2 linked regions of the Oreochromis niloticus genome follow. The protein of the gene in region 1 interacts with the protein of each later gene in a pairwise test. Links are inferred from orthologs where the notes say so. Each region holds a gene or a part of one and is shown on either strand. Other genes may lie near its edges.

The links.
Region 2: the proteins of poli (region 1) and rev1 interact in a two-hybrid assay, tested with the Homo sapiens proteins (2 studies listed by BioGRID). The link is inferred for Oreochromis niloticus from reciprocal best matches to the Homo sapiens genes POLI and REV1.

Annotation. Positions count from the first base shown.
Region 1 is NC_031977.2:28,645,337-28,649,258, reverse strand, and holds the start of poli (DNA polymerase iota), read left to right. Parts: upstream 1-1,038; 5' UTR 1,039-1,235; coding exon 1,236-1,329; intron 1,330-1,449; coding exon 1,450-1,569; intron 1,570-1,656; coding exon 1,657-1,821; intron 1,822-2,892; coding exon 2,893-3,039; intron 3,040-3,235; coding exon 3,236-3,472; intron 3,473-3,798; coding exon 3,799-3,922. Other genes in the region: RNA exonuclease 1 homolog, read right to left, coding at 1-266, 656-809. UniProt on the Homo sapiens protein: Error-prone DNA polymerase specifically involved in DNA repair. Plays an important role in translesion synthesis, where the normal high-fidelity DNA polymerases cannot proceed and DNA synthesis stalls. Favors Hoogsteen base-pairing in the active site.
Region 2 is NC_031987.2:21,426,528-21,430,449, reverse strand, and holds the start of rev1 (DNA repair protein REV1), read left to right. Parts: upstream 1-1,174; 5' UTR 1,175-1,718; intron 1,719-2,980; 5' UTR 2,981-3,578; intron 3,579-3,922. UniProt on the Homo sapiens protein: Deoxycytidyl transferase involved in DNA repair. Transfers a dCMP residue from dCTP to the 3'-end of a DNA primer in a template-dependent reaction.

The sequences.
Region 1 (3,922 bases):
AACCACATACTTCTTTCCTCGCTGGTGTGCTTTAGTAAAATCTGTGCGAGACGATGGCCCATAAGCTTTTCTGTCTACAGTTTTACTCCCAGACTCACGCTTGGAAGCAGGCGTGTTGTTTATGCGGTCTGCCTGTACAGTCTGGTAGCGTGACAGTCGCCTCCGCTCTTGCTCCACCTCATGCCTTACAGATTCAATCTCCTTGTTGATCCGCTCCAGCTCATGAAGGCAGTCATCTCCACAGCCCGTATAAGGCCTCTGTCCTTCTGTTCAACGTGAACATGAAATAGGATAAGTATTTACTTAAATGTAAGTGGCAGCTTGATCATTTGCAGTTTAGTTTTTAAGCAGTTTTTGTGCTATATGATGTGTGAAGATCCTATCGTGCCCCTTTAATGAGAAAGTAGAACTCAGGAAAACAAGGTAGAAGGTAGTTTTTTTTAAGAAAACACTTGTCCTTACCTGCAGTTACAATAATGTGCTTAATTTTTATGTTACACCTGTAACTTTAAAAACCCTCTTAATCGATTTAAAAGCTTCTTATAATTCCCAGGGTTTATGGGGGTTTTCTTAAACAATTAAACCCTTTTAACAGGTAAAACAGCAAGCTAATGCACAAGTGTTCGAAGTCAGTTGGCATAGTTGAAGCACTCACCTGTGAAGTCCACTTTGGATGATTCAAATGAGACAGCAAACCAGTCCCGCGCCTGCTTTGCAGGATGTTTGTATAAACAGTGAGGCCGCTCACAACGCCCATGTTGTGAGAAGGGGCAGTTTATACCGGCAAAAAAGCCCGAGGAGGGAAACATTAGCCACTTCGCGCAATTTTTTTCGCAGTTTTTTTTTTTTTTTTTTATAATTAACGAACGGACGTTAGCAGTTGGAGCCTCCAAATTAACGTCAGGTGACGTCAGCCTCGTTTATATAGGTTCTGCTCAGGTCGCGTGACGACTGTTGAAAAACTCATTTTAATACCCTCAAATAACACATTATTCCGTAACATTTAAAAATTTTGATTTTATTTATTATGTTTGCAAATTTAAAAAAAAAAATGCATTTATAGAAACTTTTTTTTGTAGTTGCTGCGTTGCAGTAACCCCTCCACGTCGAGAGACGGCAACGTTGCACGTAACTGAATTGGGACCTACAATGAAAGAACTATTACGACAACAACAGCAGCAGTAGTCGTAGCAGTCTATATTTCTGCAAAATTTATTAAATTTGCGAGTTTTGAGATGGAAAACAGCGAGGATGAGGAGGATGAAAACGAGTGGAGGAACAGTTTCGTGGATTCATCGACACATAGCCCCCCTGCGGCTGCTGCTTCAGGTAAACTTGGAGACTTAAGCTAGGCAGTCTGAAACTGAAATCTGACAGTTGCTCTTTGCTTTCATATGACTTTCAGAGTTCGAGATATGGTAACTGTTGTACATATAATGTGTGTTTCAGGACCAAGCATCAGTAAAACGCCAGTACCTGCACACAGAGTCATTTTGCATTTTGACCTGGACTGCTTCTATGCTCAGGTGGAAATGATCAGAAACCCTGCACTGAGAGAAGTCCCGTTAGGTAAACTCGCATGCTATAAAAGCTGCAAAAGACAAAAGTGTAAAAAATATTTGTGCCAAAGCTTCTAAATGACTCTCATATCATCAGGTATACAGCAGAAGTACATCATAGTGACCTGTAACTATGTGGCAAGGGAGAGGGGTGTCAACAAGCTTATGTCTGTGACTGATGCTAAGGAGAAATGTCCTGAGCTGGTGCTGGTTAAAGGAGAAGACCTCACGCACTACAGAGAGATGTCATATAAAATGACAGGTAAGCAGTGCATCACACCAGTGTGACGTGACAACAGTGCTCTGTAGTAAATAAAGTAATTTTTTTTGTCGTAGTGTGCAGTATGACATTAAAGTGCACTCTGAGAAAATGTAATTGTAGTTGCTACAATAAAAGAAGCTTGGAAGATCAGACCAAGTGCTAAAAATGGAGATTAGGGTCGCACCATAGCAATCAGGTTGGACTTTGGTCCACTGCAGCATCTTAATTCTTTTCTTTTTCAGCCATTCTGCTGTAGATTTTCTTTTCAGGTTCTGTGGCTGCAAAACAAGCCCAGATTAGCACCATGCTTGACAGCTGGTATAAGGTGTTTGCGCTAATATGCTGTTTCTTTGATTTACAGCCAAATATTTCCACTTTGGCTTTGAAAAAAAAAAGTCATCCTTGATTTGTGCTGAATGCTTTTTATAGAGGTGGTCACACTTGCTGATGAAAAAATAATCACCTGCATTTGATTTGCAGCACCTGGCTGGTACTTTACCCTCTTAATTCCTATGGAGGTATTCATGTGGTGGTATGCTTAGTTTTTTACAGGGCTACATAGAGTCCTGTAAAAACTTTTCACATGACTGAGAGATGTGGGTAACAAGAGGGCCTTGCTGTAACTTCTTTTGACTAGCCATTTATGCCAGATGGTGACATGACCCTTAAAGTTTATCTGGGATGCCGTTTTTCTCCGGTGACTAGTGTTTGTTTCTATGACATGGACTTATTTTCAGCTTGTAGCAAGCAAATTAAATAGTGAGCTGCTTAAAGCAACAAGGTATCAAATTTTGGAGTCGGTCTCTTAAAGAAAATCATGATTTGGGCAACTTTTAAATGCCACAATTCATAATAAAAACAACCCTTTTTGACTCAACTGCTAAAATCTCCCATTTCTACATTTCAGCATTTGTTTTCCTCAAGAATGTAAACAGTTTTTAACCCACTGTTTGGTTCACCACCCTCCTGGTGTTCCTGGGTGGTTACTAGAAACTAAATGGAGTAAATGGAATTGATGTTTTCATCTGATAACCGTTTGTATATATTTACCTTTTCTCGTTTGCCATCCAGAGCTGCTGATGTCTTATTGTCCTCTCGTGGAAAGGCTTGGATTTGATGAAAACTTCATGGACGTCACTGAGATGGTAGAACAAAGGCTTGCACAGACAGTGAAGTCTGAAGACTTTTCATTTAAAGGACACGTCTACAATCATCCAAGTAAGTCACATTCGTGCTTCTCAAGTGTAGATGTACATCTGGCCCACTGAAACTGGGAAATGGCTCGTGAAAATAGCTCAAACTCGTGAGATATTTGCATAGTGCTTTCAGTTTCGTTCTTCATGAACAGCTCACCTGCAGATCCTAAACTGTATCACGTGTGCTCATACCCACAGTTTTTCCCCTTCCTGTTCAGGTGCAGATGTTAAAGCCAGTAACTACCCAAGGTTGGCTTTAGGTTCACACATTGCAGGAGAGCTCAGAGAAGCCGTCCATAGCAAACTGGGCCTGACCGGCTGTGCTGGCATCGCCACAAACAAGCTGCTAGCCAAACTGGTTTCAGGCACCTTCAAACCCAACCAGCAAACCACTCTGCTCCCAGAAAACATCAGTGACATCATGGGCTGCCTAGGCAGTGTCCGCAAAGTGCCAGGTATAGATGCTCTAAAAGATAGTTAATCATCAGTAGATGGTAGGTAGGTGAACAGAAGTACATAACATGATATGCATCGAGAAACCCGTGTGGTGTCCTCGGGATTCCCATATACTTGTTTGCCATTCACCTAGGGACCATTTTTGACCCGAGGACACCACAAGGGTTACGTTTTAATGACTTATAGTTGTTACACTGTTGTCCTTAACATTTGGAGCATTTTTAAAGATGCTTTCATCCAAAACTCACTGATGCATTTTTGTTGTGTCTCACATGTGTTAAGTATGTCTGATGATATATTTTGTGGTGCCATCTTGTATTCTCAGGGGTGGGTCACCAAACTGCTAAGAGACTTCAAGCCCTGGGATTGGTCAGTGTAAAAGACCTGCAGCTGTGTCCGCTGAATGACCTGGTGAAGGAGTTTGGGAGTCCCACTGCTCAGCGTTTGAA
Region 2 (3,922 bases), on another chromosome or scaffold:
AGGAAAACTTGCAAGAGAATAAAATGTTTGTCCCTTTTTATTTTTGAGTGTGGAGTTACATAAAGAAACTTTGTAGTGAAGACGTCCCTCTGTCGGTTTACAAATTGGGTCTGGTTAAGGGTTACATGGAAATACATACAGGATGATCATCTTTTCCCTCAATGAGGAATATTTCTTCTAATAATCAGCATGTGAAACCCATCAGAAACCACTGGATGATGGCTGTATATAGTGCTTTTCTACTCGGAGCACTCAAAATGCATTTTACTAGAAGCCTCATTCTCCCAGTCACACACAAATTCTTACAAGTGCTTTTTTCTACACCTAAGCACACCCTGTCTAACATTTGCACACTCCAGTGGATGCACTAGGTTTCAATATCATCCCCAAGAAGACTGGAGTAGCTGGGAATTGAACTACTGACCTTCTGATTAATAGACAGCCTGCTCTACCCCAATGGTGAGATTACTTGAGAGAAAAGATGTGGGTGGCTAATCAGAGGCAATATGTGTTGCATGTGTTTCAGTGTACTTAATGAACCTTTAAATGAGTGCAGGTGTACGTTTATAGAAAGCTACTTTGCATATTTTTGACCTTACTTGTGAATAAGGACTGCTCAGATGGACACACTTTCTTATGAATGTTTCTCATTAGGAAACCTAGTTCATTATACTGATTATACCTTTGCTGACAGGTTCCTTTGATGATTTGGAGGAGGATCTTTTCTGGGCTTTTTTTCCATTACAGACACTCATGCACGCACACACAGTCATAGTTCAATGATTTGCACACAAGAGAGGAAGGTCCACACAATGTGACTGTAAACAGATTTATGTTCCCCAAAACATGAGTCATAAACACAAACACTCACACTGAGTGAAAGTCAGCCTCATTAGTCACCAAGTTACACTCTCCATCACTCCACTCCACCACTTCCTGCTGCACCAACACAGATGTCGCGCATGAAGCTTCAGCATCCGATGTCTGGTACCATAGCAACAGAGAACAACCAATAAGGGGTGGGGGTGCTTTTTGGGACAGGCTTGGGTCAGTAGCATCCTTGCTTTCAGTGAAATACGAGGTCTGCAAACACAATCAGTAGCAGACTACATGTTTATCCCCCTCAAAAATATGACCCACTTTATTTACACTTCCTTTAACACCAGCTCCTGTGTTGCAGTCTATATTTTAAACAAACCGATCAAAGATGGGAAAGCTTTAATTAAGTGTCCAAATCAAACAAGGTACTAAAGAGGAGACAGGGCCCAGACTATTTTTTTATGCTCCTCAGCGTCCAACCCACTTATTTTGCTAGCGATGGGGGAAACTCCACCCCGTCTTTGCTTTTGCTAGCGCTGTTTTTAATATTATGCAGGACTACGGTTAAAATAGAGAGCAGGTTCGCGCGGACGAGTGTTCACATCCTCGTTCGTGCTGCACGTGCCTCTGCGTCACGGCCGTCAGTTGCCTGTGAGATGAACGGCCATCTGAGGACAACCGTGCTGGGAGCCAGACAGTATACGCACACCGTGGAAAAAAACCGGTGGATGTGTGCGTGTCCCTAGACTGCTCCGCCAGCCGCTGTTGTGCCGCAGAAAAGCGGACACTTTGCACACAAACCCTCCTGAGTTCAAATGAGCAGCGTCACTCTGAAATAACCGAAGGTCGCAGCGACAAAATAGCAGCTTCACACCGGCGACCCGGTTTTCGGCTCCCGAGTGAGTAAATTAGCACCGCCAGTGGGTTAAAAACTGCACAGAGCTTTCATGAACTGTTATAGACAGTCCAGGTGACATGTACGTGACTGTCCGCGTAGTGGCAGCATCGCAGCTTCAAGCAAATACTGTATACAGTGCTGAAAACAAGAAGCCGGGGATGATGCGTCAAGCTACCTGAAAGGGTACCCGACGACCGGAAGTTGGGCGTATTTTGTTTTTGAAAATAGCGGTTTATGCTAGGCAAACTTTTCAGTTTAAATCAACAGATATATAGAAATGTGTGTTTGATTTTAAGGAAAGCGCACCAATTATCATTTGGTGTTTTTTCTACACTGCATATCATACATACAGAAATACATTTTTAAAAACTATAGAAAATCAAATGCTGTCCACATGTTGGAATATACTGAACGGTTATCTTAGCTTATGAGTGTGCGTTTTCCATAAGTTTAAAATATGACATAAAACTACCGTGTTAACAGTCTGGATATTGTAAAATAAGCTCATGTCTGCAGTGCGGTATATATGTGAGTAATCAGACACACCATAAGAAATTACACTGGAGGTATAGGTCAATTAAATTCCACATAATTTTGCTCCCTTACACAAAATGTTCCCATAGTGGTCTATTTTTGTTCTACCTCTTTTGGCTGCTCAATACAGGGGTCGCCACAGTGGATCATCTGCCTCCATCTGACCCTATCCCTCATCCTCCTCTGTCACACCAACACTCTCCATGTTCTCCAAGAACTTTGTCTGTTGTCTTCCTCATCTCCTCCTGACTGGCAGCTCCATGTCCAAGATCCTTTGTCCAGTATATCCACTGTGCCTCCCCTGCACATGTCCAAGCCATGCCAGCTTTGCTTTGCATTTGTCTCCAAATCGCTCAACCTGAGCTGTCCTTGTGATGTACTTCTTTCTAGTCATGTCCATCCTGGTCAGTCCCAGTGAAAATCTAGCGTATTCAGCTCGTGTCTTTTTATTGGTGTCACCATCTCCAAACTATACACCATAGCATCTCGTAAACCTTCCTTTTCACTCTTGCTGCCATCTTTATCTCAAAATCACTCTTGACACTTCTGAACTCCCTTCTTTACCTCCCCTGTACACTGCACATTGCTTTGCATGGTTGATCTCAGGTATTTAAACTTATCTACCTTCACTTCATCTGCTTTTTGCAGCTTCACTGTTTCCACAAAGCAGTTTCCTTCTCATTCACACACATGTATTCTGTTTTGTTTGTACTGACTTTCCATCTGCAGAGCATACCTCCACTTGACCAGGCTCACTACAGATCATGTCATCTGGAAACATATTGTTCCACGGAGACTCCTGCCTGACCTGTCGGTCGTCATCATTGCAAACAAGAAAGGGCTCAGAGCTGATCCCTAATGTAATCCGACCCCATCTTGACTCCATCTATCACACCTCATGGCAGCTCTGCACACCCTTGTTCCTGAAAAACATAACAGCCTAGTCGACAACTTTTATTTTGAAATTTTTGCTACCGGAACTACTTTTACCTTGCTCATTGGTGCTTACTGAGAGAGAGAAAAGAAAGCAAAGGGATTCAGGCGGTTGAAATGGAGAGCGAAGGGACTGGGAGGGTGAGTGAAAATGTTCAAGAGACATGGCGTGGCAGCATGACACAATAAAGGGGACCTCGGTTCACCAAAAGGAGTCCTCGGAATAACAGAATCGGGGAGGCGGAGGACTCGATCTGACTGTCTAGAGGATTTTCATCTCGCTTTGCTTTGGTCTTACCTCGTTTAACCCAATCAGTGGGCACACAACGTTTGAGCTGAGCAGTATCTGCAGAGAGAAGTCTGTGGCTAACAACCAAGTCTGACAGGATACAAGGTAAAGCACTTCTCTTTGCGAGCAACCACTCAGGAAGGTTGGTTTGTTTACAGCCTTGGTTATCGCCACACTAAAGTTGCATAGTCTTATAGCGCTGTTTAACGCTGGGTTGCTAATTCTGCCAGTATTGTTAGCAAGAGTCTGCAAAACACTCAAACTGTTCCTGATCCTTAATTTATAATACCATTTAGTGGCGTAGCGACATGCATTATTAACCAGCTAAAACCGCTTAGAGTTGCTAGGCTAATGTTAGCCGTCCACCTAGCTCGTACTTGAAAGAAGTGACAAAGTGCCACATGGGGCTATGCTGTGACCTATAGCGACTCGTTGTGACCTACCTGTCA